Drosophila melanogaster: one gene and its partner. Changing the gene in region 1 together with any one later gene gives a genetic interaction. Each region holds a gene or a part of one and is shown in the gene's direction. Other genes may lie near its edges.

Region 1 (18,329 bases):
TTGGTATTTTTTCTGGCCATTTCGCCATCGCTTTCTTTTGCACTGAGAATAATAATAAAAACAACTCCAACAACCACAACAAGTGGTAACAACGGCCAACGGAAAACTACTACTACCGAATGTGACGTCGTTGGTTGGGTATTTTTCCCTTTTTTTTTATGTTTATTCACTCTTGGTCAGAATTTTTATGCTTTTGGATTTTCATGCTGACCTCAAGCTGGTTTTGTTCCTATAAAAGTCGCCTAGCTAGCCGTATTGGCCATAATTGCAGAGCACCAGACGGCTTGGTCAGGAGTTGCAAATACTACAAGATTGGGTGACCATCCACTCTAGGTTTTGGAGTATGGCATACCAAAAGTATAAAAAACCTATCCCAAAGATGCATCGGCATTCTATTTAAATTATGCATATTTTAAGGGATCTACTTGCAGCTTAAGGTATGATTTCTATTCACGTTTACATAACGTAATATTGATCTTGATAGTGCAGTTCCTTAAAAAATATATACAGTCTTGAAATATTGTAATTTGCATTTATCATATTGCTAAATCCATTTAGTAGTAGTTTGAACATTCACAGGATTGCCAGTCATATCTCTCATCTGAAAAGATCATGCCACCCATGGTCAAAGGGATTGTTTTGAGAAACGTGCCCCCGCTACTTCCCTCCACATTGATGCCACACTAAACAAACCTCGAAATCGTTCCCATGGGCCGAATCACACACATTCGGGTACAGATTGAAATGACAACTTTTAGTATCTGAGATTGGCCATGAAGTACGGTTAACGGCTGGGCGGACACAGATGCGATTCGTATCCGAATTCGTAGCCGTATGAAGGCAATTTGTGTAAATATTGAAACGTTTGAGCTGCGAACGAGTCGCAATCAGAGATTGTGCGGCTGATTGGAGTTGCCAAACTAAACGGCCGAATAGGGCGACGTTTTTGGGGGAGGATTGGGCTGTGAAACTTTCAAAATTACCCTCCTGTTTGCCAACGCTCCCATTAATCCCAAAGCGATATAAACTATTTACCCAAAGCGAGTGAATTGTATAGCACTAGATTTTCCCACTCGTAAGTAGATAACCTCTGTCAATGGAAAATTGAAAGTGATAGAAAGTCACACCAATTCATGGGCACATCTAATGACTGACCACTGACCCAAGAAATGCGCAAAATTCAAATATTTTTCAAATTAAACTTAAAACACTTTGCGCCCAGCCCAAATTTGTTGTTCTCCGCTTTTTGGCATAAACGCTTTTTACACTTGACTTCAAATCGCTCAAAGGACGCGTTTTATGCGTTTGCGTTTTGGCCAGAAACGAGATAAAAAATCCACAAAAAAATAGAACCAGTATCAGGAAGAGAGAACGCAAGGAGATCCAAAGAGTGGGTGGCCAAAGTGGGGGGCTGGAGGGCATTTGTCGGGTTACGCATCAAAGCGCCCGTATGAAAAATGGCCAAAGCGCGATACGCCAAATTGAAAGCAAGAAAAATATGGCTGAAATGTTGTTTTTTCAAACGGCCAACTGGCTGCCCATGATGCTGCTGCTCCGCTCCAGCATTTCGCAAGGGAGGGAATGGGGTTGGGGATAGGAACTGGGGGGTGATGGTGACGATGATGGCGATGATGCCAAGCCTGCAACTGATGATGGCGCCCTGCCAATGATGAATGCGTCCAAAAGCCCGTTCGCGCTCACATTCCGCGTTCTCAACGCAAATGAAATTGGAAAATGTTCTGGCAAGCAAAAAGAAAATTCTGCCCCACCATCGGTAGGGGGTGGTAGTTGGGTGAAGGGCGAGGGGCAGTCCTGCTGGATCGGCGACTAGCAAAATGAAAAATAGTCAAGCAGAAGCAGCACGCAAACAATTTGCGGGACCATCGATTCAGCTGAGAACAGTGCTCTCAATTGATTTAATTTTTAATTATTTTTAGAAAAAGTTCATAATAATCCCTATCTAATTTGATGAGATTTTCAGTTTTATAGATAATTGTTTAGTAATTTAGCCAAATATGTTAATTAATAATAGCTCGTTTAAAAACAAGATAATCTTCTTATAATCTTCACTTTTAATGTGCAGAAAACTGTGAAGTTTTAGTTTTTGTGGGTGTAATTCAATACGAAGTAAGGAACTGATGTAATCAATACTTTGAAGTGTATTATAAATATTTCTACTTTTATGACCTAACAAAAAAGTTAGAACATAATAATTACATTTCATAAAAATACAAATTTTTTTTAATTTCAATATATTTGTTTCATAAAATTTAGAAGTCACAGTGCCCGACTGCTATTGACGTTGGCCATTTGGAAATATAAGTTTTATGGCTTATGCTGGGCGGCTCTAAACACGCGTATGAAAAGCGCACCAGCCCTGTCAGCCCCATCCACCTTTCACCATCCCCACCCGCCCTGCTGATGCCCCGCCCCCTGACCTTTGACCAGCCCCCAAAATCTGGAAATCTCCGGCGTAGCCGGTCACTGGCAGCTGAGCAATTTATTGCCGCTCCAGCGAACGCCAAATGAATATTGGTTTCGGTTTGGCCAACTGGTGGGGTTCTATTTGATTTTGGCTTTAGCGTATTGCCAATATTTGTATTTGTCTTTGGCGTTTGTCGTTGCCCGAAAACTTCAAAGTATCATTTTCATTTTGATAGCCCACGATGAGGGAGGGCAACAGACGAGAAGGCCCACAGGCGCTTAAATATTTGGGTAAAAGAGAGTTGGGAATCAGGCCGGGAATTGGAACCTCACTTTGGCCGCCGATGGGAGTTTGCAGAATTCAAAAATTTCACACCATCTCACAACTGTTTGTTTTTGCGCTGGAATGCAGTTCGAATGTTATTGCAGAGTGAATGTTTTTCTGACTCACACTCACAATTCCCAGCCTCATTAAAACGAAGCCAGAGTTTCGTATAAACATCTTCTGCAGTCGTTTGATTCCCGATTATAAACAATGCCTGCGAGCAAAATCCAAAAGACAAATAAACCACAATGGCCAATAATAAACGGAGAATCAGTGGGATTCATCATGGTAATTATACAGGGATTTGGATTTGAGCAGCTTGGACTGTTGGCTGTGGGGCTATATCAAACAGCACTAAAATTGACATTGAACAAACATGGAATATTATTCGAAAAGACAGACGATATTCAAAACTAAATTGAGCACATGCTGCGCCCCTTCACAGTCCCAGACTCCACTTGAGCTCTGACTTATGCGTCTCAGGTCCATTTTTGGCCTGCCTGAGTCCCCCCATGCCAGCGTGTCCTTCAGGTCCTGCATGTCCCTGTTATGAGTGAGGCGAGACTACATGTCTGTCAGAGAGTCCCGAACCCGAACTCTCAACTGGAATCCGGGGGTTAGAGGCTGGATGTGGATATGAATGTGGGTGCGGGCGAAGGTTGTTGACACAGATCGGCGCACCAGGCACAAAGTTATTGGGTTGTGATCCACTGAAAAAAAAAGCGAAATGAGTTTTTCTAATACAATTGTGTGCGGTTTAAAGGACATAAAGGCTTGCTAAATCTTTTCAAATACCATGCCCATCCATGATAATTAAATTGAAGTATAGTTTGACCTTAGATATATGTGTAATCTTCAATAAGCATATAAAATAGGGCTTCAAGAAGTCTGTAGAAGATTCAAAAAAGTAGCAAGATACTGCTTAATATGTAAGTTACATTTTTTATTTTGCAGTGCATTCGAACTGCAGCGAGTTGAGAGCGAAATCTAAACATCTGCAAAATTACGCGCATAAATCCTTTAACACTTTTCCTTCGGCCTGGACACTAGACAACCCATTGTTGGGGTTGCATTTGCCACGCGGGGCACCGTCAAATTAGCCCACTTCAGGGTCGATCCCGCTGCGTGTCCTCTGCGCGCTCTCTCCCTCTCCTCCATCGCCCAGGACTCCTTTCTCGTGGCGGGTGCAGTGCAGCATATCTCAGACCCATTGTTTACACACTTCATATTCGGTGGAGGGAGTGGATACACATTAAATAAATAGTATGGTATTTTTAAAACAAACTAAATTGTATTTTATGCCTCATCTTCCTGCTTATAAAATGTGCTTTAAATCTATTAAGTACCCTATGAATCCCCAGATTCAAATTGAATTCAAGTCATCGCAATATTTTCGCTGCGTGTAGTAGGCGCGTGTAGTGTTGACAGTTTGCGCAGCATCTTAGTGTCTGTTGAGCAGCTGCCGAGATGTTCTTCTCTTGGCTGGGATGCCAATGAATATGCCTAGGTCCTGCGGAACCTACCCAAACTCCGAGTGGCGAGCCTTGCCAAAACAAACAATGACACCACCCGCTCCATCTGGGCGCTTTCCCCTTGACTGGACGCCAATAGTCGAGCTGTTGAGTTAGAGTAAATGTTTCCATCTAATGACCCCTATCCCGAACTCCTAACCCATGCTGCCTCTGCTGCTGGGATGGTGGTCCTGCCTGCCTAGAGGTCCTAAGGCATATTTTCAAGGAGTCTTGTGCGGTTCCTTCGGCTGGATTTTCTTTCTTGCCGCACGGCCACTTACCACTTACCACTTACCACTTTCCAATGCCAATGTCTGTGCCTCTTTAGCGCTTATCATGCTCAAATGGTAATTGAAGGGCCATAGAAGAACTATTTATCCTGAGGCTTCCGAGCGTGCTCTCCTCGATGTTGTTGCTGTTGTTCTTGTGGTTATTCAATATAACTCACTCGTTTGCCATTGATAAAAGGAGCAGTAGGCAGGGGGAGAGGTGAGCGGTACATGCACACAATGGATGCATTGAACCCAAACCCGAATCAGAATCTAAATGCCAACTCAAACCCAAAATAAAAGCAACCCGAGGAGCATTACTACCCTTTGCCATTTGTTTTCGGATGTTTTATTAAATTTGTTTCCAGTGCCCTGATATCATCATCCCCAGTTGGAAATCCTGTTTGCCGTCGAGTTTTATGACAATTTCCACTTTTTGCCATTGTCGTTTTTGTCAGCCGACTTCGAACTTATCGAGTGCATAATGTTGTCATCATTATTATGACGATTAGTGGATGGGTTTTAGGTTTTGGGTTTTGTATTTGGCTTGGCGCACAGTCGCCAGTTTGCCAGTTGTCAAGGTTAATTGAATTTTCGCTTAGCCTCGTTTTCCCTGTTGCCATCTAGTTGATATGGCAGGGCATATACATATATAAGCCAACTACTCGTGACTATCTTTATTGGGGGGGCACCAGTAAACCATAATTTCGTCACAGCAGTGGCCAGGATACTAGTGGTGGGATGGCCCTGGCCATTAACCTTATCTCCAAGCGATCCCCCGTTCCAATGGCTTTTACTGCCAAGGATTAATTATGCACACGCCTCCGAATTTTTGGTCTATTGCCGTCATAAAGTCAGTCAGTTCGGACTGTTGGACTTTGGACGAATACAATTGAGTGATTGCCGTGAAATGGCCGTAAATGTTTTATTTGCCTATCGGTGGATGGCGTTCTCTGATGACATTTTACGTTATCATAGAGAATTACCTATTGTACCTTATTGTATTAATTGCCTTAATAATTGGATAGCAATTTTAAATTTGGCATATTTATTTTTTGTTTAAAGGTTTTCGAATTTATTGGATCATATTAACCTTTAATATTTCTTTTCCAACGACTTTGTTTTTCCCCTATTTCCTTGCTACCGTTTGATGCCAACGATTGGGATTCAGATCTCGTTAGCTGCCCTCCTAAACTTCTAATAATTACTTTAAATTCAGCGCACACTTGGCAGCGACTTTGTTTTGTGGATACGAAACGGAAAGCATTCCCTTCAGATTGAGGGAAATTCGTGCAGCAGCAGAAGCAGATACTTTTCGCCGCCTTTGTTATAATTCCGCAGCAAGTGCGCACATTGCTGCTGCTGCTGCTGCTGCTGCTTCGGTGGCCTTTGTGCCAGTTGAATTCGGTAAATAAAGTTTTCAAAGTTGCACAAACTGGCAGCAACAACAATCCACAGAGGTGAAGTGAACCGAAGCGACTGGAAAGCGGGAAAAACAGGGCGAAAAAGCAGCAAGCAATGCCGATTCCTTGTACAAGTGCCGCTGCTCGATGCCAACAAGTTTGGTGAAAAGTCTCCCACTTGGCCAACTGGCAACCAACGGCTGCTCCCCCTGCGTCTGCTTCCCCAGGTATCCATGCTAAGCTACGGAGCACATATCCAGCGTAGGCGACTCCTTGGTTCACAACTTCCACGCCGGTCGGCAGCCCGCTGAGCCAAAGCCTAGTCTTAAGCCGAGGCCCAAACATCAAGTTACTGCCAGGCGATGGTGTGGTGGCCCAAAAGGGGGCCAAGAATTCGAGCTTCGACTCCAGAAGTAGCGCCAAACTTTTATGCACAGCACCATGTTTGGTTTGTCTTTCCAGCTTCCGCTTTTCTTCTTGCCGCTCGGGTTTCTCTTTTCCTTCATCCTTTCTCATCCTCGGTGATAGTATCTGTGCTTCAGTGTGTGCGTGTTTGCGGGGGCGGATAGTTGGGTTTCGGCCTCTTTGGGGGCGCCGGAAATGGGGCTGCCTCCCAGTTGTCGGTGGGCTTTTGATGCTCATACAGGGTGACATTGCCACTTCCGCTTTAAATCGCTGGAAATTAGAGGGGTATGAGCATTGAAAACTTAATAAATCTTAAATCTTGCTTAAAAGCAACTTTTATTTAATTTAAAGATATTATCGGAATAAGAATTCTATAAATGTAATTTCATAAAAGAAACTTATTTTTATGAAGTCTTACAACTTTGAAAACTGCTTAAAAAAGATTGATTTTGAAAAGAAATAAATAAACATCTTTTCTCTTTGAGTAACTACAATAAATAATGTCTTGAATCAATTATAAAGAGATTATACTTCAGTTTTACTAAGTTCTTTAATAATACTATAGTCACAGACTTAATCTTCACTTTTACAGTAGACATAATAACATTAATGGAATAAAATGTATGGAAATCATTATCCAGAATTCAAAACTAGTTCATTTAAATTTTAAGAATCCTTTAAGAATTTCAAAAAACTTTTGTTGTGAGACATTAGGTCCTTAAATAACCTGCCCAATGTATTGAGAAGCACCCGTTCCCATCTTGTTTATCGCCAACTTTTTTCACCCGCAAAAAGTAAAATGCAAGTGCAAAAAAGCGTAAAAGAAGACAAGGCCATTGTTTTTTTCTGCCTCTACTGCTGCCACTGCTGTGTTTGTTGCCTTTGTTGTTGCTGGCATTCTGGTCCAGTCGTGCCACTCAAAGAGCCAACAGCAGCAGCAGCAACAACTCAAGGAAATTGTCGCCGTCGAGCGGCAAACTCGCCAAAGTTGCCGCGAGTGCAAGTGCAAGTATGTCTTTGTGCCCCATCAGCAGCAGCAGCAGCGGCAGCAACACCAGCAACAACCAGCAACATGCAGCTGCCGCACGCCCACCGATGGCCGCCCACAAGCCGACTTGGTCTTGCATTAAAGCCAAGACATCTACGAATATGAGAAAACCAAATATAAAAAAAAACAAAAGAAAAGAAAACCCGCACTTCCCCTGCGCACATGCGCCGTGCGGCAAAATGGACGCCGGGGAAATGGCCAGCCAATCGCAGCGAGGCTGAGGTGTGGCCAGCGATTTGCGAGGGACTTGCTCTCTGCCAGAATTTCCCTCGCTGCTAATAATCACTTGAGACATGCGCACTGCCGGGGCAGAGAGGGGGTTGCTGCAACCCTTGCACCGATACAACCCCTGGCATCACGTGCAACACGAAGAGCTGCTGTTGTTGCCGCAGGCCAAGCGGCAGTTGTTGCTCCGCAGCTCCGTTGCTCCGTCGCTCCGTTGCTTTTGTAAACAGGCGCAGGCGCAGTGCGCGGGGGTACGTTTCAGCTGGGATTTTTTTTTTTTTTTGTGAGGGCAAAGTGAAATGCTTTGATTTCGCTGATGGTTCGATCACACGCCAACTGACAGCGAACGCGGCTGGTTGTCCTCGCATTCGGCAGCGCAAGAATAGGCCACCGAAATCATATTCTAAACGAAACTGAACAGAAGCGTAGTTAAAGTTAAAGCAAAAGCAATCGAGCGTCTTGTTTGTGTGTCGCGTGTTCCTTGTGCGGTGTTGCATGTGACATTTTCGTAGACTCGAAACTAAAAAAGTAACAGCGGTGTTTTGTGGCAACTCGTATACGATGCTGGAGTTCTACCCAATGCCCACGAATCTGAATCCAGTCGGTGGCAGTTTGTACTCGCTGCAGCAGAATCATGGCGGCGCGCGATTCCTGGACAATCCAAATCCCGGCAGCATGACTGCCAGCAGCGGCAACTCCCTGCATCTTAGCAATAGCAACAACAATCTGCCAACAAGCATTTCCGGCAACAATAGTCCCACGGCAACGGCTTCATTAACGGGGCAGCATCAGCAGCACCAGCAGCAGCAACATCAGCAGCAGCAGCAACACCCCCACCAGCAACATCAGCAACACCAGCAGCAACACGCTGCCTCGACCACGCCAGTGCCAATTAACAGCTGCCCCACGCCCACAGGACACAGCCCCCTCAGCAGCAGCAGCAGCAACAGCAACCACAACAATAACAACAACAACAACAACGGGGGCAGCAGCAGCAACAACCTCCACTCAGCCTGCAACACATTAACAGCTGCTGCTGTTGCCGCTGCCTCTGCCGCTGCTGTGGCAGCTCCATCGCCAGCAGGCACCTCAGTAGCCACCTCGCAATTAGGCGGAGCAGTTGCTGCGGCGATTGCTGCTGCTGCTGCGGCGGCTGCCGCTGCGACGACACCCACATCGACGGGCCCAGCGGCCACAGGAAGCGGAAATGCAAATGGCAGTGGCAACGGAAACGGAAATGGCAATGGCAATGGAAACGGGAATGGAAATGGGAATGGAGGTGGTGCAGCAACGGCATCGGCAGCAGCGGCATCCAAATTGTCTGCCGATTGCAGCGGACGCACAGGTATGTTCCAAAAGTATTTTGCACCGGCAGTCGAGCAATTTACCGGCTCGTTCCTCTTCTGGGGTTTTCACGCTTTTCGTTTTTGGCATACTTGCGTGTGCCCGGCCTGCGGGTCCGTTTCTGTATCCGCATCAGCATCCGTATCCGTGTCCAGGTTCGGTGCTGCGCTGCGTGAGTTCCAAGCTGGTCGGACGAGGCTCCAGATTGTGTACAACCACCCACACCTGAGTATGCCGGCAGTTTGCGTGCGATGTGCTCGGCTTTTTGGGGCCCAAGGAATGCTTCTCTAGGGGAAAATATATAGATATTCGTTGTTTTTTCTTGCGAATAAAGTTGAAGTGCTTATTTCAAAAGGTGTTTACTCCTGAAACTTTTCTTTAAGCGGAATATTTCAGCATTTATTGATTGCAGTAAAAATTAGCGTATATATTCATAACATTAAAATAATATAAGAGAAAAGTATTCTTCATATTAATTAGCCTAAAATCAAAAGTAAATAATAATTTAAAAAACATTAAATAAGAATGTTCTTATTTGTTACTAGTTTGCTTTTAGTTTGCAGAATGCAAGTAAAGTCAATTTGGTTAGATATATCATAGGTTTTGTTAATTATTATTGTATCAATATTAGCATAAATCCATGTTTAACTTGGAACTTAATTGCAACTCAGCTTTCAAAGAGTTGGATTTACTTTTTAGCAAGTGAAATAGCCAGAGGCAGATTGTCCACTTATGTAAAAACAGGCAAAAGCAAATGCACAATTTCCGGCTAACACGTACATATATATTGACAGAGGACAATAAATTATGAATTTGTAGTTGTGATGGCGCACACATGTTGTGGATAGTTCAGTGGGCGGATGTGCGGCAAGCATGGCGAAAGTATTTCCAAAAGTATGAACGCAAGTTGACCACAAAATAATTTTGACAATGAACCTGTCTGACATCCGCCCGGCACGGCCAAAAAGAGGCGTGGCTCGACCAATAAAAGGCTATTAAAGCATGCCACACACTGCCTCCCTCCCACACACACACACACACACACACTGATGCTTTGGCATGCAGGCACACATACACACACACTCGCATGCATGACAGCCTCAAAATAGGCAACACTTTTCAGCTGAGTTGCAACGAAAGTGTTGCTGGGGAAAACTTTTGCGAATTTCCCTCCGAAATGCAAAGTGTGCAAACAATGTGTGTGATGCATATGCAGACCAGACCTCGTCCGAGGCTAAGTGGATTGTGTTTTCGGTTTTTTAGTGCCCCTCATCCGCCCACTCAATCGCCCACAATAGCTGTGCTCTCTTGCCGGCCAACTTTGCATTTGCCTATGAAATTTCTATTAATGCTCGCATTCTGCCATTTGCTATTTGCCATTTGCCATTGCCCAAATGGCAGCAAATAGTTTCCGTTTCCGCTCGTTCCGTGCCACTACCCCAATCCACACACCACTCCCCGCCTCTCATCCTAAGCTCCATTTTCCTCGGCAAACACTTGGATGCCGGCTGCTAAACTACTATCGGTGGCCCACACTTTGCAGAGGTCGAGGAATTTCGAATGGGCTGCCATTGGGGGTGGTGTGCACTCGGGGGCAGACCACGGAAATGAGCACACTCAGTGTCAGGTATTCCACCGAGCGTATCAGCATACATATTTGGCTTCTGCGGTGGCTCCAGCTTCGTCTTCCTGTCCTACCCACAAACCCCACCCACCCAATCGCCAGTAGGTGTGCATTTGTGTGGCGGAAGTATGCGCCATACGCATAGTTCTGTGTCACTTTCCGTTGAGATCCAGCTACACTGAAACAAAACTGCTATTCAAGAACTATACGGAAAATCCACTGGAACTCACAAAGAGTACTACATTTGAGTTTAGAATGCAAAAGTCAATATATTTTGCAATCCCTATTTGTAATTTGATTAAATCTGTATCTTACATTTTAAAAGAGTAGTTTTTGAAGTTCATCCTATTTTATTCATTATTTTATATTATGATTAATACCATTTCCATGGTGTAGATAGCAACGAAGAGTTTTAAAGACCCTGTTTGTTTGTCAGTCGAAATGAAAGCTGTCGAATTATGAGCTGCCTGTCAACGATGAACTGCTGCCAAAATCCGCGTGGCACGTGGACTGGACTCCAGTTAGTGGCCGAATTAGTGCCAGAAGTTGGGTGCTGTCTGCCGATTTATCTCCATATAACCCCGCCCCGCTGTCAATGTGTCAATAAATGCACCATATAGTGCGACAATCGTGGGGCGTTCGGGCAGATAAGCCCCTTTATCGGCGATAACGACGAGGACACTTTTCTCTATTAGTTCTATGTTTATCGTCGAGTTGATTTTGGATTTATCTGCTGTTTAATCTATGTATTTGACATGAGTGTGCCGCACTTGTTCCGACTGTTTGCGCTTGTTGTTTGTTGATTTTTGGACAAGTTTCGCCCAGGCTTTACCATTCAAGCCCAAAAACACACACTCACTCAATGCAGAGTCCTTTGTTGGCCAAAACAATACAGAGAAATCGGAAAAAAAGCATACATAAAACTGCAGTAAAATGCCATAAATTTCGATTAGATTACACAAACGAAATCCCGTCACAATATCGATGCTCAAAGCTCTACAAAAACATGAGGCCAAACTCAAAACGCAGCTCCCCTCTGGGGTTTATCAAATGAATCATTCTTGATTTTTTGCTCGGCCCATGCAAAAACCTTTATCGCCAATGCGATTGGATATGGATACTGCACAATAGGATGAAATGCAAGCCAAAAAACAGAAAAAAAAGGAAAATAGGAAAATGCCCGAGGACATTGTCAACTTTCCGCTGCACTGGCTTAGCGCCCCCTTACATAGGGATTTTCGTCCCTATTCCCAGACTATATATCACCCATACAGCCACATTCGCGTAGATATGGCGACTGTGTGCGTTTGTGTGTGTGGGGAGGCCATTGTGCCAACCATAAATCATGCACATTTTTCTGCCACTGAGCCACAGCCATATAATATAACACTCCACTTCCATTGCCAGTTTCCCTCCGCACTTTTTCTCCACTTTCCCTCCGCACTTTCCCAACTCGCTGCTCATTTTTCAAATGCTTCCATACATTTTTCGTGGCGGTCGTCATATATTTTTTATGTTTACTGCATGCAGCTTTTGTTGTGTTTTTCGGGTACTACTTTTTATGACTGGTTTACAGTTTCAAGAGCTCCGTCTACGGGAGGATTAGGTTCGTTCTACTTTGGGTAAGGCGAGCTGAAATCCAGTAGCTCCTCAATGGGAGATTAGCATTTTTTAAGGGACTTTGTTTAGGAGTTAAGCTTTGGCTTAAGTTCGGTGGTATATACAATATCAATTGAGCCATTTTCTGGCATGTTTATATACATTGATAATCGAGATGGGGGGCTGTTCAATAATACCGAACAAATACGGAAAACTTTACGTTTCAATTACGCATCAATAAGCTTTCAATACAAGCTGTTGCAGTCCGACGACAGATAATTTTTTCCAGCGAAGAGTTTTCCTTCTGTTTTTCCATCGAAAGTGCGAAACAGCGAACGGAAAAACAAGAGAGACGTTGAAGCATTTTCACACGATTCGATTGTCAGCGCGCTCCTTGCTCCATTGGCAGCACATGTCATGATAATTTCGCAGCGACATGTGCCGCCATCACGTATACGCCACGTACGCCCATCACAGTAGGGCGAATAAGCGGAGTTACACTGGAACAAAATTACTAAAGTATTAGGATTCTTCTTTGAAATATTTCTGTTCTCAAGAAAATGTTTCATATATATTTTCCAAGTATGGGTTAAATATTCGATTAAATTGATTATTAATGTAGATAGATATATTTATTATATTTTAAACCTCAGTGTATTAGTTACTTGAAATGTATTCTGCGACTTACTAACGCGACTTTTTTCCCCCATCTTTGCTTGTTTCATCCCCAGAAGTGGGCCACATCAAGTGCGAGAAGAACTTCGAGCTGTGCGAGGGCTGTGGCCAGAAGATCCATGACCGATTCCTGATGAACGTGGGCGATGCCAACTGGCACGAGCAGTGCCTGGCCTGCTGCTACTGCGGAATGCAGCTGCACCACACCTGCTACGTGCGCAACTCGAAACTCTATTGCAAGATGGACTACGACCGGCTGTTCGGTGTGAAGTGCTCCTCCTGCTGCCATGCGATCCTGCCGCAGGAGCTGGTAATGCGACCCATACCGAACTTTGTCTTCCACCTGCCCTGCTTCGTTTGCTACGCCTGCCGATTGCCGCTCCAGAAGGGCGAGCAGTTCATGCTGCGCGATGGCCAGCTCTTCTGCTATCGTCACGATCTGGAGAAGGAGATGTTTCTGGCAGCCGCTGCTGCTCAGCACTGTGGGTTCGTTGGCCTGGACGAGGAGGATTTGCTGAGGCCACGGGATGGAAGGAGAGGTCCGAAACGACCACGCACCATCCTCACATCGCAGCAGCGCAAACAGTTTAAGGCCTCCTTCGATCAGTCACCCAAACCATGTCGCAAAGTGCGCGAAGCCCTGGCCAAGGACACCGGCCTATCGGTTCGTGTAGTGCAGGTGTGGTTCCAAAATCAGCGCGCCAAGATGAAGAAGATTCAGCGCAAGGCCAAGCAGAATGGTGGCTCCGGCGGAGGATCGGGCAGTGGGCGTGGCACGGGCAATTCCAGCGCCACCGACGATAAGGACACCAATGACAAGGAGGACAAGTGCGTCAAGCAGGAGCTCGGAGGAGATAGCTCCGGTTATTTGGGTGGATTGGACAGCACTTTCGCCAGCCAGCCGCTGAATCCCAATTTGCCCTTCTCACCGGATGGTAAGTGGTTCGATTTGAAGTTTGATTTCGTCCAAGCATTATTCTACAAGTACTAATGGCTTGCTTTTCAACAGACTATCCGGCCAACTCGAATGACAGCTTCTGCAGCTCGGACCTCTCGCTGGATGGGAGCAACTTTGACCAGTTGGATGACGATGCGGACTCGCTGTCGCTGAACAACCTGGAGCTGCAGTCCACCAGCTCGTCGGGCAACCAGCACTCGCACTCCCACTCGAATCCCCACGACATGCTGGCCAACCTGAACAACAGCCTGATAAACCCCATCGACAAGCTGTATCTCATGCAGAACTCGTACTTCAGCTCGGAGCATTAGATGGCCATTGGCTGGAATGACAGGGAAGCACCGAGGCGATCGTGGGATAGAGACGAATTTATTAGCGTTAGAGTGGCAGGATCCGATGGAAAAGGGACGCGAGGTCCTTGCTGTTACTTTAAAACGTAGCGCGTAGTTGGCACCTTCCGCATTCGGCGCATTAAGTTGGAGTCGTAGAACCGGATACAAGATACATCAAATGTGATTTTTTTAAGCTAATTGAAATTTTAAGATTCTTGGCGATTTGAAGGCGCAGAAAAACGGGGCGGGCAGCACATCTTTTTGTTGGTATAGACTCTAGAGGCAAACCAAAAAAAAAAATGTATAACTCCTTGAGAAATGGCAAAGTGGTCAATGCGCCCTCTTATGTTTGTAAATAGTTTTAACCACCCGAGAAAATTGTTATTAAATGTAATTTAAAAGTCAATAATTGTATTAGCAAGTGCAATTTAATCTGTTCCCCTAAAATATACATCTTAACCGAATTCTTGCAAATGTCTGTGGATCTTATCTTCGAATTAACGGATGCGTTCAATATTTTAAATGGGTTGGGATTGACTTGCGATTGTTAATATTTTTATTTCGCATGATTTTCCTTTATTTCTTATTTTTTATCCTTCGTCTTTTATCGGTAATATCGTCTCTTATTTTAAAAAATTAATTTTTTTTTTATATAATTGTAAGAATATTTATTTATTTATTTCGTATTTATTTACACAGCCTAATTTATTTTAAATTTTTTATTTGCCGTATTATCGAAAAATCCATTTAAGATGCGTTGATGCTTGATAATAAATAAAGAGCACAATAACTAAAAAGAAAACTTATTGCGTTTACTGTATTTACTCGACTGCGAATATATACACCTTTTTTTTGTGAATACTATGAATGCCTTAGTAAAGCTTCATAAATTGACCGAAATATATTATTTAAAAACCATATTTTTTTGCCCGCCAAAATGCTGCCCGTACAAAGCTGGCTTTTATGAAACTCGACCAATAGCGACGACAAAGCGTTGCCACATGGATAGAAATAATTAACAGATGGCAGCTCAGCTACTGCTTAATTCCTTTTAAGCCACACAGTTTAAAGATTTAATATACATTAATTTTTGATCAAATTTTATGAAAGTAATATTTATAAGCCAAATGTTAATAGAATATCGTTACTCACAATCACACATGAAATGTATCGATATGTATTTTTTAAAACAGCGATCGATAGTTTTTTATTTTTACAGTGCACATCTCTAAAAAAAAACAACGCGTTCGTCGAAATTGCAATAAACAATAACAATGGTACAAAACCGAAATAACTGTGAATTTAAGAATTAACATTAACGCTTTATGTAATCTGCAGCTCTTTTACTCCTTCTTCAAGTCGCTGGTGGGCAAGGAAGTCGTTGTGGAGTTGAAAAACGACCTCAGGTGAGATTCGTTTATTTGCCGGTAAATTGAGGAATTTTTAATACTTTCTTTATAATTAAACAGCATATGTGGCACCCTGCACTCGGTGGATCAGTACCTGAACATCAAGCTGACGGATATCAGTGTCACAGATCCGGACAAGTACCCCCACATGCTGAGCGTCAAGAACTGCTTCATCCGTGGCTCCGTGGTGCGATACGTGCAGCTGCCGGGCGACGAGGTGGACACCCAGCTGCTCCAGGATGCGGCGCGAAAGGAGGCTGTTGTGAGCACAAGATAAGAATACCACTACCAGCAGCCCAATTGGATCTACCCATTGCTTCGTAAACTGTCCTAAAAACCTAAGTGAAATTCTGTTAAAGCAAAACCAATAAGAGGAATCCCCGTATTAAGTCGCTATGTACGTTATTTACGGCCCATCAGTTTTCGATGAGTCAGTCTCGAGGTTACCGTGGGTGCTGCTCCCTACGCTTGCGCAAATGTCCCAGCTTTTATCGCTCCACGCTTGAATGGAGCCAGTAGAGCCAAGTGTGGCTTGTGGGCCAAATTTTGTGTCATGTTGATAATGGTCCATAAATTTGTATAATTGCTGTGACGATGTACTGGCTGTCTGAATGTCTGGATGCCTTGTCTACACATCACCGGATACACGGACTCATTCATACAAGGTTTCCACAATGGGTTGCTATATCACACGACTATACTCGTATGTACTTGCAGCCCGTTTTACGATTGTGATTGCTATTATGGCCCGGCCCTCGAATTCAACCTTTTATCCGCAATAAAATGGAGGAGCCTGGCGGAATGCTTTTAATTTTCTGGACCTCGACCCGCTCCTTAAGTGCCTCTTCGCCAGCCGCCATCGAATGGCTTTGTTTGCTGGAATTCGTACTTAAAATAAAATACGCATTCGTGGAACACTTTTCGCTCGGCATTTACATTTCGGAATGGCCAGGGAATCGCGTTCTAAACTTTGGCAGTTGGTCAGCGGAACATCACGAAATATCGATCCATTAAAAGTTGAAGGGCTACAGGCAGAAAAAAAACATAGCTACTTCGAATATAATGTTACCAAATTTGATTGTAAATAGAATTTTTATAAACAAATTATTGCCATCCTAAGCTAGTTCGCTTAGCAACATATATTCCTTTTTAAGCTTGATGTCATTATTAAAAAAAAATAGCTTGACATCAGAATCTTTACCTTGTAATATTCCACTTAATTGAATTTAAATGGTACCAGAAACCGGAAGTTTATCGCTGAAATTATCCTCCCTTTTTTATTACATTTTTGAATGGTTATAGTCAGAATTTTTTGGTCAGTGCTAAGGACTCGTAGCTCGTCTGACTGCGCATAATTGAAGGGGGAAGTTAAGTCCAGCCCAGCGGAGTCCATCTTTCATTATTTGTGGTAATTGGGTTCCTGTTTCCGGCGCAGCTTCTAAATTGAGATTTCGAGACGCATCGCATTGTTCGTCCGACTCCGGCTCGCAAAGATTGTTTTGCATTTTGGGCCAGAAAGTTTTTCTCCGCATCGGACTTTCTATTTTCGGAATGGGTGGCACTGGCAAAGGGAAAAGTGTCCTCGTTTCTGGCCTATCGCTATGGTGGAGTGGGGAGGGCGACCTCAGCCTGTGGCGCACATAAAAATTTTGTAATATACCCGTGCTCCGGCGGGTGGATGTGAGCTCTGGGGGATTTATGGGGCACATGCTGCAGTACGTCCTAGTTCATCAACGTGTTGAGCTGTGCGTGGCGCGTAAAAGTTAGCTCGTAAAGTTACGCTGGGATCATTCGGGTTTTATTAAAAAATAAACTATACAAATTTGACACAGATTATTTATACATAAGTACGCACCAAAGTGCGCACATGAATATGCAAACGGGATGGAAGCTAAGCCGTTCCGAGGGATACGCAGCATGCACTGGATTCCTCTAATGACACATGTACACACATGTGTGTGCGTGGTTAATCCTGCGGAATTTCCAGAATCATCCGTACATCTCCGGGGGCTTTTTGGCCAAATTGAATAGTGGTGTTCGGTGGAATTCGGCGTTTCCATTGACATTTCCAGATGGCCGTAAATTATGGATTCCTTTGGAAGAGCGCCGTTTACACAGGGAAAAGTTCGATTCAGATGGATGCAGATTCCTTGAAGTTTAGGAAACGGAAATCAACGGAAACTAATTGTAACTCAGGAACTAAGATATGGACATGAGTTTGGATATGGATTTTTAGTACTTTAAATTAATCAAAATAATTCCTTGTGTCGTTGAACATGAACTCATATTTATTTTAAACTTTACAATCTTTTTTTTTTACAATATTCTTCTCAAAATAATGAGTAAATGTATTTACAATAGTTAGATTTACCCTGTTTTTAGATGATTTCTATTTTACACAATTATAGAATCGATTTTTGAGTTACTCGGCTGGGGGAACAAAATGAAAAACTGAAAAACGCTGTTAATTAACATTACAAAGTTGCCCTGCTAATGAGAGAAACTCATTTGAAGTCGTATATATTCATAGTCCAATTATTCAGTCATATAATTGTAAATTGTAACTGACTCTGATTGCACATTGATTATAATTGTAATTATTGTTGCTTATATCGGATTACACGCTGGCGAATTGGCAACATTTGAAACATTCAGAAGTTAAATCTATTTTTTTCACAACCAGATTTAATTGCAATTTTTTATGGTTTTATGGGATGTACATAGATATTATCTCTTATATTTGTATCCTTGTTGAAGTCAAGTATTAGTAGAACATTC
Region 2 (15,024 bases), on another chromosome or scaffold:
TAAACTATGACAAACTATTTGTCTCAAATCCCCCTTTTCAAATTCACAGCTTACTTTTGAGAAGCTTCTTGAAAGCGTCTTTCAGCCCGTTTGTGGCTAAATCGAGAAGTATTATTCGTAGAACCACCATGTGATGGAGCAATACACCTCAGTAGCGACACGGACACGCATCTGTCACATCAAAAGCCGCGGGCATCTTACAACGCTCCGGTAATTGGTGGGGCCGGATCCGGGTCTGAGTCTTTTTCCGTGGCTGCCTTCGCTTACAGGAATTCTTGGTAAAATCGAAGGGAAAAATAGATGCGAACGGGAGCCAAACAAATGAGCGAAAGTGCGACGAAATGAACTTGTCATAATTATTTGACAGTCAGGGTAAGTGGGATGCTGACTCTGCCCAGCGGCACATTAACCAAAAATTGATGTAAAACATTTTGCCGATGGGAAAGGGGTGCCATCGCCATTGGCATCGGCATCGGATTCGGTTCACTTTGATTCCACGTTTCGGTGTCACTGCCAGCGGGTTGCGGGGTCAAGTGGTCGCAGCCTGTGAAAACAAAACTTGCGCCTCATTTCCGGTTCAATCAAGTGGCAGACAGCTTGGAGCATGATAAGACTCCTGCCGGCGACTGTGACTCTCTGCGCCCGGTTTACTTAGGTGTGGCTGTTGTCAGTCAAAGGCGCAGACAGCCAGCTGCCCTCCTTGTAACCCCATCCCATTCCAAGCGATCCCATCCCACCCAAAGCCCCTACCAATTAAGCGGTTTTTTCCGAGACAAATTTGTGCGACCTTTGACTTTACGGAGCGAAATGAGAGGAACGGGGATAGCATTACTCGTTAGCAGTCGTGACAGTTTTTCTTAGATTTTTTCATAATTTTACCACGAATTTTTTCCTCGCCTGGCCTCGTCCCCAGCAATTTTCCAGGCAGTCTCACACAAAAAAAAAAAAATATGAAAAAAAAATATCAGATTTCCTCGTTGCACATTTTTTCCATCCATTCTTCGGGGCTTGGGAAAGTGCAGCAGCAGTAGCAGCCTCCGAAATCCGGACAATTGGCAGCCAAAATGCCAACAAACAAATCATTCACATTTCGTCCATTGATTGGCGAGGCGGTAAAGCGAAATTCGATATTCGGGATCGTCTGGATGGTCCGGAGGGAGGGAGGAGAGAGGTGGTAGATGAAAGTGCTGGCAGGGATGCAGCGGCAAGGGTCCAGGGGCTTAGATCCCGGCACCATCCTCCGATTTCCATAGGGTTTCCGCACCGATTCCGGTTCGATTCCCAGTGACGAGCGCACCTGTTCCTCCACCGCCGCGAAAGTTGTCCCATCAACAGTTGGTCGCACAATTCAGCTTTACGCTCTTCCAACCAAACGGGTAATACTATACGTATTTCCCTCAATTCGGTCCGGCCTTGCCGCTCTATTTTCGACGTTATTAAGTTTAACGGAAATAATCAACTATTTGCCATTTTTTATACCCATTTATAATAGTTAGAATTTCCACAATTGTCGAACGGCTGCCGCGCAAAAGTTACAATAAATGTGGCCAAGGTCTGAGTGATGAAAATGATACGCGGCAACTTTAGGGCTGCCACATATGGTGTAAGTGTAACTGATAGTTCAGCAGGGTATTCGGTTGCCGTTTACCATTTTACCAGATACCAGTTGCCCAAGTCCAAGTGTTGCACAGTTGGCACAGTTTGCGGTGCGCCATCAGCCGCAGTGTGGAATCTCTGCCTTAAACTCGGTAGATTCATCGCAGAAATTAACTTAAAGATTATTTTATTAAGGGATGAAATAGAAAGGCTAACAATACTGAGAAAAAAAAGAGTTATTCATTTATTTTCCCAAAAGTACCCTGTAATCCGAAAGACATCGTTAGCGCTCGCCCAATCTCAACTCAACTTTATAATTTACAATACTGTCTTTCCTTCAACTTAATTATTACAAGAATGAAAGGGTTGAAGCGCAACTCAAAGGGTTAACAAGCAACTTCTTCAGCAGATATACTCAAAGGGTTAGCAAGGCGAACTTCTTTAAGGGTTGTTCCTCACCTAGCAATCAAAAGTTTTTAATTAACAAACAATGCAACCGATTTTCCGAAAAAGTAGTGTAAATAATTTGCAATGATTTTTTAACCCAAAAGGAAGTTTTCATTGAACCCGATCCGTGACATCTTGAGAATAGGTCAACATTGTTGTTTAATTAGAAGACAATAGCTGTCAATAGCTTATTCCGGACAGTCAGGATTCCGGCTCACCATGAAGGGAGTTGGGCCGGAGTCAAAGGTTGTTGGCTAATTGCAAGGCGGGGTTCTTGTTTTTTTTTTTTTTCTTTTCGTTTGGCGAGGGGTTGGCGAATGTACTGGCTGGTACCAACGGCAGGACAGCCAGCTGTGAAAAAATCTTATCCACACTCGATCTTAATGACTACTTAAACAGCGACAAAGCCAACGCCCAACCCCACTCAATCCCCGGGTTGCAACCCCCTGTTCCGGGATCCAGATCGGCTCAAGTGCGGCACTTGAGGCAGCTGTTTGGCACTCGGGATGACTTTAATTTAAGCCCTGGGGTGCCATATATATGGAAACCTCAACATTAATAAGTGTTAATAATTGTGCGTAAGCGTGTGTGTGTGTGTTTTTTTTTCCAACTGCGTTGACACGCCCCCAACCTCCCGAAAGCAAGTCTATAATTTCACATCACTTTCGCCACTGTTTTTGTGGGGGAGTGATGGGCGGCTGGTTGGGAGGACAGAACCGAGCCGGCGAACTGAGACCGAGTTAGAAAGTCCGTCCAGAGGAGCGTAACATGGATAGGGCATGGGTATTGGATTACCAGCGTCCCATGGCATTCGAATCCACCTCCGTGTCGGGCGGCGTCGTCCTCCTCCTCCTCCTGCTGACTCCGGAATACGGATGGTTATGGCAACGGACGGATCAGCAACCGAAACAGCATCCCTGGGGGTCTCCAATGATTTGTTGTTGCCCGCGGACAAGTTTACAAATTCAATTTGTCAGCGATGCCTTAATGTTGTTGTTTTCCGGACGGGGCGAGTGGTTGCAAGCACCATTTCATAGGCCTGGCAACGGTTAACCCAAGAAACAACGCAGCCAAATTGGCGGAACGTGCGAAGGGCGTCGACTACAGCATACCCAGTAAGCTGGATTCTGTGATCCCTAGGGCAGCATACAAAAGACGAACTTATCTAGTACATAAATAAAAGATTTAAGAACGCATTTGATTTAATTTGAGAGTTTTAGAAGATTATCATATACCCTGGAGCTTACTAACAATACTTTTTTAGTTTATAATTTATAATTCAATTCAATATATCAACAGGAAGAAATCTGTCACTACTTATCTGCCTTGGGTACCATTGTAAAATGCTAGCGATATTGTGCTGGCATGCCAAAGCCACCCCTAGTCGAGCACACCCTCTTACCCGATACCCTGTGTTACCCACCCGGTAAAAGCATATGTTTCCATTGCATACTTGAGGGCGCATTTGATTAGAGCCCACCGAGGCGTGAGTATTTAATTTTGTTGTTCGTTGTTGGGTCGCTGCGCGTTTTGACACGCGCTAGTCGAGAGCACGTAATTAAATTAATTAGAGAGCCGTTCCCACAGGTAAACCTCCACATCCACCCACTCACCCATCCACCACAATTCGCTTCGGTCCAATCCAATCCATTCTGCCACCATTCTGCTATTCTGTACTTCTGCCGTTCTGCGGCAGTTTTGATGCTCATTTGCAGTGACAGGCGACACACTTCGCTCGGTGGGTGGCCCAGTCGGCGGCAGGTTGATGGGTGGTGGGCTGGGTGGCGTTGTGCGCCGGTTGCCAGGAGAACACACACATAGAAGCTGCTCGGCTTTGGGCTTCGGCTTTACCTTTTAATGAAATTCCTAACCAATGTTTGCTTCGCCTCGGTCACTATGGCGATTCACATCCTACTCCGTTCCATTCTCCACCTCCTCCTGACCCCCATCAGATGTGCATACTTATGTACATATACGTATCAGTCGGAGATCGGCACGTGCCTGGAACTGAAACACAGGTTCCGCATAATTTTTCCCAAGAATGAAAGCATAAACGAACCGTTTCTCGCCGACCCTGGTGGCCATAATAATCGGCTCAATCATAATGAACTGGATGCCTCATTCTGGTGCAAGTGCAATTCCCGACTCGGTTTATTTTTGTATTCATTGTTTTTTTGTTTTGCTTTTTATCGGGTGTATCAAGACCCAGCCAAACGCCCACATACTCGTAGACCACTGACCAAGTCTTTGTTTAGCTTTGCCATCCGATCGACGGCTCCCTCTGGCCTTGTTGATTTATAAAATCCAAGTTTATGTTCATATTTTTTATAGAGCCAGCACAGTAGTTCGTTTTAATGATCTTCGACCCATAAAATGGCCTGTCAAAATTATATATTCGGCTAATGCGCCTTGTGCTCAGTTGTATAGGAAACACGATTTTTGTGTGATTTACGATCGATTTGAGGCGAGTCGATTCGATTGATATGGGATCCCTGCTGCAACAGCTGATCGTCTGGAGTTACCCTATAAATATTTGTACAAGTGGGAAATGTGTTTTCCATAGGAAATGCAATACCTTCAGATTGGCTGTTGACTTTTCCATTTATTTCGCAAGTTTCTGTGGAAATAAACGAGTGACAAGCGGACCAAGGAAAGTTCAGTGCGCTTTTGTCTATGAAGCGTTTTAATTACCAAGCCGTTTCATTCAAGATTTTTAGGAATTGAAATCCCATGTGCAGTTCCCCTTCGGAAGACCAGCTACAAAACGAAAAAACCCCAATCCAGAAATCTGCATACCAAACCTCTTCTGGGCATTACTTCATGCAAATATCGCTGCAATTTTTAGCTCCATGGCCTGCGCTTTTTATCGTTTTGTTCTCTATTTTATAATATATGCGGTCAGATCTCCATGGCTCAGCAACATTTTTTTCGAGGGGCAGAACGATGAATGCCTCAGACGCTTGGCATGTGCTGACAAATGTGAAACTTCCCTAATCAGCATGGCATGGAAGAACTGACCCAATTCGTGGGCTCGCCAATCGAATGACGCATTCCTCGACGACTTTTGAACCGGAGAACCTGAGCTGCGTCGCGAAGGGGGTGGAGGGGCAGGCCACACTGGGCATCCAACCAAATGACAACGGACAAGCAATTCAATGTCCCAATGCTGGCGTAGCCAAATCCAAGTCCTTATCTAGATGTCCGGCGAACAGTCGCCCAGATCAAGTTGTAAGAATGCGAACATGGCAACAAATGTGCTCGACTCAGGTGTTAAAACTTTTGCATTAAAATGGCGCCCAACGCGGAACGGACACAGGCCTCTCGATCCCAAACCATGTGGCCCCCACTTCCTTTGGCTGTGTAAAATTAATACTACACTCGGGGAGGTCCAGCCCGATCAAAACTGAACGTAAATCTTAAACACTTTCGAGTTCTACCCTGCCCCCGTGCGATTCTCTGATTCTCCGATTCACCGACTCCCTGATTCTCCATTGTGCAGCAGGCTTTTGCAGTCGCACGATCAGCACGTTCAGTTCCGAGGGGATCTGCTGCTTCAAGGGGGAAACTGGGATGCTGGATGGTGGATGGTGGATGGTCGACGATCGGCAACCGGTCCACGACAAATGTGCCAGTCTCAGCAACAAGCCAGGCCGCAGAAATATCTGCAAATGCAGCGAATTGTGCGCAGATTTGTTTACAGAAGACTCTCCGAGTGGCAAACTGAGGGAAGACGGATTATCGTGGAGGGAGGAGCACCATGATCATCGTAGATATAATTGACGACATGTTGTCTCACGATCGTGCTAAAGCGATTAAAGCTAATTTAATGCCCGACTCGGAGATTCACTGCACCCAAAATGTATCCACCAAGAAGTGCACTCCCTCACTTTGAGGTCATGCTCGATTTTCTCTGTGGAAAGCCTTAACAAAATGCCATAATCAAATTTCTAGCTTCACTTTTGTTATTTCTTGTGGCTGAATTTGTTGTGGGATCGAATGGGCTCATTGTCGGAATTCCATTGCAATTCTATTGCATGTGTGCATGTCGCCTATTTACTTAAATGCACTTGTTTCACTTGCTCACTTGTAATTACATCCAGGCTTTTAAGTCAGTCTCTGTTGGGCCAAAAATCAAGTGTTGAATCAACATGAATTGTTTAGCACACGATTCAATTGTTTCGTCTCGACGGAGACGTATAAATAAATAAATACGAGACGGCCATGAAATATATATTTATTAGAATAAAAAATGTTAACCGCTATCGGTTTATGACAACTGTTTGTTTAATTGTAAAATATATATTCAGGAGAGGTTTAAAAGATATTTTACAAGTTGCCTACCTTAAAGCTTAACTCTTTTACTAGAATTTCATTTGGATGAAGTTTCAACACACTTTAAAATTTATGTGCTCAGTAATTTGCCAGAGCTGCCCCAATCAACATCAATTGGCTGCCATACTGTCTGAGCATTCTAATTCATTTAATCGAGCTCATTAGTGGCTCTAAACCATCATGTTTATGCTACCCAATTACCATCGGAAGTGATTCACTTCTGCATGGACGGAGAGATAGCCCTGTGATTTTGATTAGATGCCAATTTGTTTATGGCACTCACTAATCCGTCCACAGATCGGATATCCCATATACCATATACCATTTGCCATATTCCATATACCATGTCCCGTATCGGTTTGATTATGCCCAGCACACTTCGGCTCGTCTTACATGAGCATTTCGATTTTTGGGAGCTCCTTCTCTAATGCGTTACGGATCCATCGAACCCAATAAGTTTTAGGCGTTTTAAATTACCCGATATTCGCGTTGCGCGTTTTACGATTGCCATTAAATTTGCTGGCGGTTACCATTGAACAGGCCGAGAAACTCCAACTGATTAGCTTATTAATTTGTTTTATGTGCTCGAATGGTGGCGGAGTTGTTTCGAATTAATTTATTAATTTATGCGCATAGGAAAACCAACTTTTCAGTTGGCGTTCGCCCAGCGGCAAAATCTCATTCACAATGGGCATTGTTCGCCCGCATCCGAGAGATACTTACCAAAAAAAAAAACTAACATAATACAGAGAAAGAAACAACAAACTTTGAGGAAAAGTGGTTTTCGACCCACCCCTGTGCGATATTCTTGGCCCTTCGATTTGGGGAATGGGAATGGGCGGAGTCTAGGCGCATTCTCTGGCCGGCGGAGGGAGCGAGAGAGGCTGCTCCGAGTGCGCACCGCTCACACGAACTCGTTTCGAGTGCCGAGATACATTTAGCCGGTACGAATACGAATCCAAATAATCCGAGCCAGGGATTTCCACTCAAGCAGCGCCGCTGCCGCTTCGCTGCCGGCGTCGCATTGAGCCACAAAAGTCGGCTGTTTCGGTGGTTCAGTCGATTCGAGCCACTCAAAGCGAGCGCTACGGGAACGGTCGATCCGCCCGAAGTCGCAGATAAAAAACCTACCAGATACATTTCGTTCGTTCTGAAACGCTATAACTAAATATATATTCGATTTCAAAACATCGACCATACATTAACTACCTGAAACGGTCGAGTTCACTACCCCGCCACGCGTGTGTGTTTTTGTGTGTGTTGCAAGTGAAAGTAATCGCAAGTCCACAGAATGGTCACCCTAATGCCATACAACTACGCTGCCCCGCGATGCGGATTAATTGACAAAATGATCGAGCCAAAGGTAATCACATAGTCGTAGTGCTCTCCTCGCGAAGCTTTAAAAGTGATGTGGTTGAGATGGCTGTGCCGTCGGTTATTACTATTACTAGTATTGCTAGTGTTATGACTATGATGACGGCGGTAGCTTCCTTGGTGGTTGCGCCTTGTGGGGCTTCACCTAGTCGGGGAGTAGTATCCAAAAAGTGAAACTCCATGGCGAGATAACGCTTCGACTCTCATTTATCAAGCCTGGATGGAGTCTAATATATGTACGAACAACAGTTTAGGATGCTTTAAGCTGATCTATTGGTCGGTGTGATATCATAGCACACTTCATATATAAATCTAGTCCAGCTTGACAACTAAGTCGTGTTCAGATGCTATTCGATTTCATAAATCTAAGCGAATAAGTCGTGCAAATACACTCGAAGAAATACAATTTCATTGGGTTGCTTGAAAATGTATGGAATGTTACTCATTCACAGAGGATTATCAATTTTATAGACCCATCCTGCGAAGAAAAGCGCTTTAATGACTGCTCATTGTTGGGAAATCGTTAATGGGGATAAAGATTATGGGCACCTGACCAAAATTTTATTACAACGCATTAATCGGCTTAACTTTTGGCTGTGGGGTAATGAAGCAAACAAGTTGAGTCCCAAAAGGTCATTAAAAACGCTTAATAAAGTGCCGAAATAGTGACAAACGTTTTTCCAATTCGCTGCTGATGCATTTCTCCCATCAAATTACCAAAGCCTTTTCATTCACTGCACGCTTGCGATGCAAAGTCTGGCCGAGATTAGCGTAAAGTTCGTTTCCCGACGATTTAATGGAACGGCATTCTCCAGGCTTTTATGGGTCCCTAAACTACGGCTAAGACAAAGTCGGATCGAAGGAAACGTGACGAACGTGGAGTGGCCGGATGGCCGGATGGTTAAGGCGAAATATTAATAGAGCATAAATTACAGCTCTAGTGGGTCTCTGGGTGCCGGCTTTATGGGAATTTAAAGAGCCTGGCCCACAAAAGCCAGAGCTGGGCTACGGCATTCGTCCAGCGGCATTAATCACATTTTAATTAAGTTTAAGCCGTAATCGTAAAAATTAACACGCCATAATTCAACTGCGACAATACGCGCTGCATGTAATTTATGACAAAGAGAATTCACATCGGTGTGCGTGTGTGCGAGTGTGTGGGGGGGGGGGGGGCGGTGGAGGAGTCGAAATATTGATTATGGCCACTGCGATTGACACTTGGCGATTGTTGATTATACTACCACGATCGTGGCCCAAAACGTAATTAACGTGCCAAAGTGTTAAGGTGCATGGGATAGGTCCCATGCCATAGCAGCCCCTTCCTTCGATTCCACTTCGTCCACCAGAAGATACAAATTTTCCTCTTGTTTATTTTGATTTTTATCGCGGGGACTCGAGGGGGACTCAAGGGGGCTCAAGGGGTTTGTAGGGGTCTTCGGGGTCTTAGGGCCGGGTTAATAAAAAATTTGTCGCCGTCTTCTTGTCTTGTCTTTTGTTTGCCTGCCTTTTTGTGACCGAGTGTGTGTGTTTTAATCTTCTTCTAAAGCAGCAGAAGAGACAAAGAGATTACGATCACAGGAATTTCGTTAAAGATGCCCACAAACAGGTCTTTATACCACATATCTCCCACTCTTTTCCGCAGCTGGAACCAACCAAGCCGGCCCAACCAAAACCCCCCCAGATACTGATTCGAGTGTTGTCTGTGTTAATGTTTACGTTGTCAGCTTGTGCCATAAATTAGTTTAGTAAAAGGTTGCATTTGACTCTTCCCTTTCCCCCCCCCCTTTTTTTTGTTGGCCCCTCACCAGCTCACTTTTGCATACAACTTCGGACTCGAATTCGGTTGCTCGTGCAGCACGCAATCCTGCAGAATTCGCGACCCGAGATCGCAACTCCAATGCGCAGCTCATCGAAACGCTACCGTTCGGCAATCTGTCCGCTTGTCCGCCGCTGCGCATGCGCGTGTTCCCTTGGTCCGTCGACAAATCTGAGCAAACTGCGTCCTGCTGCCCCCCACCAGATCACCGGATGATGGACAGTGCGTGCGTGTGGTCATCTCGCCGGACGGCAGAAGCTGTCAACCGAAGCCGCTCAGCTTTCGCTCCCTTCCCGCCCTTCTTTTTTTGTTTTTTTTTTTTTTTGTTTTGAGGGACTTCTTTAGGGGTGGAGAGGCGCACAAATTCCAGCACCTGGGCTTGCCGCGCCCCTTAGTCCGCCTTCGATTTATCTGGCTTCCGTTCGATTTGCATACATGTCTTCTTAAGGGGCGTTTTTTTTTGACCATTTGTCAAAATCATTCTGGCAAAAGCTGAATTGTCAAAGCTTTATAAATATAAAACATAGTAAGTGGATGTAAAGGACGTTCTATTGTATGCCTAGAGACACAATCTTTCCTCGAAAGTCTGTATAGTTAAATGTCATCTTTGTTCCATCTAGCCATTTTGCATCCTTATCGAAATCCGCTGCCACCTGCTGCTTTTCCGAGCACTACCACCTCCCCCCCCCCCTTTCCGACTTCCCCTCCAAATGGCGCCGCACATCCGAGTAACAGTTGAGTTAAACTTTTTCCCACGCACAAGCTCGGGCAGCGAAAATCGCTTGGCGCAGCAGCAAATGGCGATTGCGAATTATGTAAAATTTGCTGTTTTCTTTCGCCACTCGCACTGGATAACCCAAATAGAGTTTCAGGCGGTGGAAGTGCCGAGCTCAGCAGGGCGATTCCACGCCAGACGCTGAGGTGTGAGTGCGTCCGCCTTGTTTATAAACAAATTCTTTCCAGGGCCGGCGAAAATCCAAAAAATTCACAAAAATTAACATTCAGTATAAGTATATATTTTAATGTGATTTTCTTCACTTTTTTTTCAGGTTAAACGTCCCAAGACAGACCACACGGATACACATGAACGCAACCGGTAGGTTCAAATAAAATAAAATATATATAAATATACTTATTCATAAACATGTAATTTAGGTACTTTTATGAAATAGATTTCTTAAAAGTGTAATATGTTCTAACTAAAACACATATAGGGGAAATAATAGTTTGCATATATTTATAGGTTGAAACCTAAATTATGAGTCTTTTACCAACTTGCTTCCCAGGATCCTGAAGAAAAAGGTTTCCCTCTCTGTAAGCGTAGACAATTTGTAGCAGAACGGCGAGAACATCCTAACACTTGACAAGAGGCTCACCATTTTCAATTGGTTTCGATTGAAAAGTGGCCATGGTCGGATCGTCGTAAGGGAAGGGAAGTGCACATTTTGCATGTGGTCCACACAACCTGCCACATGCCCCGGCAGAAATTCAAGGAATTCGGTGCACGCTTCCGCTGCGACACTGAAGCGAACCCAAGACCGAAATCCAAAATCCAAAAACCGAAATCCGAAAAACAAAAAGAACCGAAAAGTGTCAGGGCACTTAACACTTGCCAAGGGGCATGGTGGACATCGTAGGGACACGAGGCGGTGCAGGGCCAACTACTTAAAAGAGGCTTAAAGGCGGCAACAGTTGCGGCTTAGTGCTAAAGACCTCTCAACCTCCCTCTTCGATAATTTCTATTATAATATTCGTAAATCTCCCATTGGTCAGCCCATATTGTGAGGAGAGCAGATCTCAAAGCCAAAGTTTGGGTTGGGTTTCCTCCCTCCATTTGGCGCACGCGTCGTTCTGCGCTGGGAAAATGATTTTCCCCCTTTCACCAGCTGCTCCCCTTTTACCATTTTCCCTCTTGTTGTGGCTGCCAGCAAGATAAATGTGGCCCCTTTCCAGCCGAGCGAAAGAATCTCAAGGTGTCAGATTCCTTTGGAAATTGGGCACTTAATTTACCTTCCTATTAAAATTATGAAAAATTGTTAAATATTTTCCAAGCCTTATGGGGGGATGGGGGGAAATCGTAGGCGGAAAAAGTGGAAATATGGTATACGGTATAGTCGAAGGAAGAAAGTGAGGCAGATAAATCATTTGAGTAGAGAGTAATTTAAAATAATTATCCTCCATAGGGAAATAACGCGGTGTTTAAATGATTTTATCTTGCTACTTTAAGATAGAAAATATGGGATTTAATTTGCCAGCTGATTGTAAAAAACTCATCTTAATTGCATCGAAAAGGATTGAATTTCTCCCCCAATTTGTCTCCATTTTTCCCCCAAAATATCGAAAAGCCTTTTCTTTGTTTTCATTTTCCCGTAGCTCTGATTTATTTGACTTTCGACTGCTGCTCAGTTTTATTTGATTTTTAGTGAGCCCTCGTAGATTTTCCAATTTGTCCACTTTAATAATGTCCTACTCGAAAAGCAATAACATCAGAGTAACAGAACAGAAAAAAAAACATCAAAACACAAATCGTTAAATATATGTATATAAAAGAAATATTTGTCGCTCAACATTTGCTGCACACATGGCCATGGCAAGGGAATGGGGGGGGGGATGGGTCAGGACTTGTCCGGGACACTCCGCACATGCCACCAAAAGGCGGACCCAGCGATCCGCTCAAGTGCCCCGCACCGATTCCAAGCGATTCCTCTTCGAGATCCCAGTAAACAACCCGAACAAATCCAGCAACAGGAAGAGGGAAAGAGAACGGCCAGATCGTAGAAAAATATTTATAACACTTGACAAGATTTGGAAGACCTCTTCGCTCGGGTCTTCGACGGGGAAGCACTTGACTTGGTCCAAGTGGCCCGAAGGGGATCGGGGAATGGGCAACCGAGAGCAGAACGACTACGTGCCGTTAATTTAATGGTTGTTTAAAGATTATTGGAAACTATTTTATGTGTTTCCTTAACGAGCAAAAGGTTCTGTGTTTCGGTTCTCCTCCACACAAAGAAAAAATCCTCATGTGTGTTTTGTGTACTATTTTATACTCAATCCTCAGTCGGCCTATTAATAATTACAAATCGTCTTGAAGTCGCTTGAAATTCATCAGTTTCCAATATTGAAGATATAATTACATATTTCTAGCTTTATTTTAGAGTATTAAAAGGGAATCATAATTTAATAATTTGTAATTTAATAACTAGTTCGCTTCGGGCTTTAGCTATTTATAAGCACAATTAAGCTGTAAGTACACGTTTTATTAAACAAATGAGCCTAAAATAAATACTTTGATTTAGCCGCCACCTTTTTGATGGCATATATAAATTAAATTAACCGGTTTTAATATAAATACCTCGATTGATATAATGCAGTCCCAGTGACTCGGTTATTACATTAGTCATGTTCGCCGCCTAAGGATATATTTCATTTGCTAAGAACTCGTTTTTAAATATTCATAAGCATAAATTGTAGAAATTATATAGTCAAGTTCGATTTAAATATCAAATGTGACATTACAATTTAAGTATTTCAGCTTTTGTTATTTGTGAATGAATTGTTTACATTTAAAACGGCTTAAAGGTCTGTGTTTCATTGTATATTCCCACACTTGACACCACCACCCCATTAATTGGCTCACCCACTTATGACGCCTCTCATCTTATCTTCTTGCAGCCTCTGCAATCTGTCACAGCAGCAGCAGCAACAGCAACCCCAGCAGCAACAGACGCATCAGCAGCAACAACAGCAGCAGCAGCAATCCCATCAGCAATCCCATTCCAGCACCGTGTTGGCCAGCAATGGACCCAGTAGCGCCGGTGCCGGCATGGGTGTCGGTGTGGGCGGAGGCGGTGGCAGTGGAGGAGGAGTAGGAGGCGGAGTTGGCCAGTGCAGTCCGCTGGGACTGCCGCCGCAGAGCCAGCCGCTCCAGCCGACAATAGGATCGCTGGCCTCGCTGAGCGGTCACTACTCGAACGGTAATGCCAATCCGAATGTGAACTCGAGCAGCTGCAGTCTGGCCACAGCATCCAGTTTTGCGCAGTCCGCCGGCAGCAGTTTCTCCACATATCAACAGGCTGGTGGCACCAGCGGTGGAGTTTCTGGCGAGGATGGCGTGGTGGGCGGAGCAACTGTGATGTCGCACTGGACGCACGATGGCACTGGCTCGAGTGCAGCGGTCAAGTCGGAGTCCCGCAGCCCGGGCCAAGTGCACGCATCGCTGGACAACGGCTCGGTGGCCGGATCCAATTTGTACGGCTGCAGCTCGGCCAGCAATCCGCTGGACGGAGGAGCAGTGGCGGTCAACTCTTCGGCAGTGGCAGCGGCAGCAGCAGCGGTCTACGACGGCAAACATGACTACTACTACTACAACAGCATGCAGCAGTACACGCCGCCGCCCTTCTACTCCGGATACGGAACTCCTTATGCGGCGGCAACGGCGGCACGGCAGGCCAAGATGGAACCCGGAGCGGCAGCTGCGGCGGCTGCCTACTTGACGCCCAGCTATGCCGCCAGCGGCAACAACAACTCGCAGCTGTACAGCAGTCCGTACGCCGGCTACAACAACTTCGGGCAGCAGGACTACGGCGGCTACTACAACGAGCAGTACGGCAACTATTACAGTCCGGCCAACTACTCACCGTATGCGGTCAGCTCGCCCAGCTCGAGTGCGAGTCATGGACATGGCTTCCATGTGGCGGCCTCCTCGAATCTCTCCGAGAGTCCCACGGACACCCACTCGACGACGCCGGTGCACCAGACCACCCACTCGCCGCACTCCCCGCTCCCGATCTCGCCGAGCACTGGCTCCGGCATTGGCCCGCTGGGCAATGTGTCCGCGGCAGCTGCGGCCGCTGCTCTCAACTCGAGCGGAGGCAGCAGTGTGGGTACCGCCGGCTCTGGGGGCGTGGCAACGAGCAAGACCACGCCCACGGGTAAGACGGGTCGGGCGCGTGGTAGACGCCATCAGCAGCCCAGCCCCACCAGAAGCACTGCCTCGGACACCGGGAACAGTGAGGCGGTGAAGCCACCGGAGCGGGTGTTCGTCTGGGATCTGGACGAGACGCTCATCATCTTCCACACGCTGCTGTCGGGCAGCTATGCCAACCGATACACCAAAGACCACAGCTCCCTGATGACCATCGCCTTCCGCATGGAGGAGATGGTCTTCAACATGGCCGACACGCATTTCTTCTTCAACGAGATCGAGGAGTGCGACCAGGTGCACATCGACGATGTCAGCTCGGACGACAATGGCCAGGACCTGAGCGCCTACAACTTCGCCACGGATGGCTTCCACACGAACACTCCACCAGGCGCCCCGCCCAATCTCTGCCTGCCCACCGGTGTGAGGGGCGGCGTCGATTGGATGCGCAAGCTGGCCTTCCGCTACCGCAAGATCAAGGACATCTACAATAGCTATCGTGGAAAGTGAGTATTGGGGGATGCGCTTTCGGATTCAT

The links.
Region 2: of Lmx1a (region 1) and eya, changing one suppresses a phenotype caused by changing the other (phenotypic suppression), as found in Drosophila melanogaster (one study listed by BioGRID).

The regions. Positions count from the first base shown.
Region 1 is NT_037436.4:12,321,299-12,339,627, forward strand, and holds Lmx1a (LIM homeobox transcription factor 1 alpha), read left to right. Parts: upstream 1-7,933; 5' UTR 7,934-8,171; coding exon 8,172-8,955; intron 8,956-12,908; coding exon 12,909-13,787; intron 13,788-13,861; coding exon 13,862-14,121; 3' UTR 14,122-14,603; downstream 14,604-18,329. Other genes in the region: CG10418 (uncharacterized protein), read left to right, coding at 15,417-15,419, 15,481-15,548, 15,612-15,828.
Region 2 is NT_033779.5:6,528,543-6,543,566, reverse strand, and holds the start of eya (eyes absent), read left to right. Parts: upstream 1-7,455; 5' UTR 7,456-7,666; coding exon 7,667-7,738; intron 7,739-10,614; coding exon 10,615-10,661; intron 10,662-13,057; exon of another isoform or gene 13,058-13,144; intron 13,145-13,237; coding exon 13,238-14,992; intron 14,993-15,024. UniProt on the Drosophila melanogaster protein: Tyrosine phosphatase thought to play a role in transcription regulation during organogenesis through its intrinsic protein phosphatase activity. The phosphatase activity was shown in vitro. Appears to function together with So and Dac in eye development.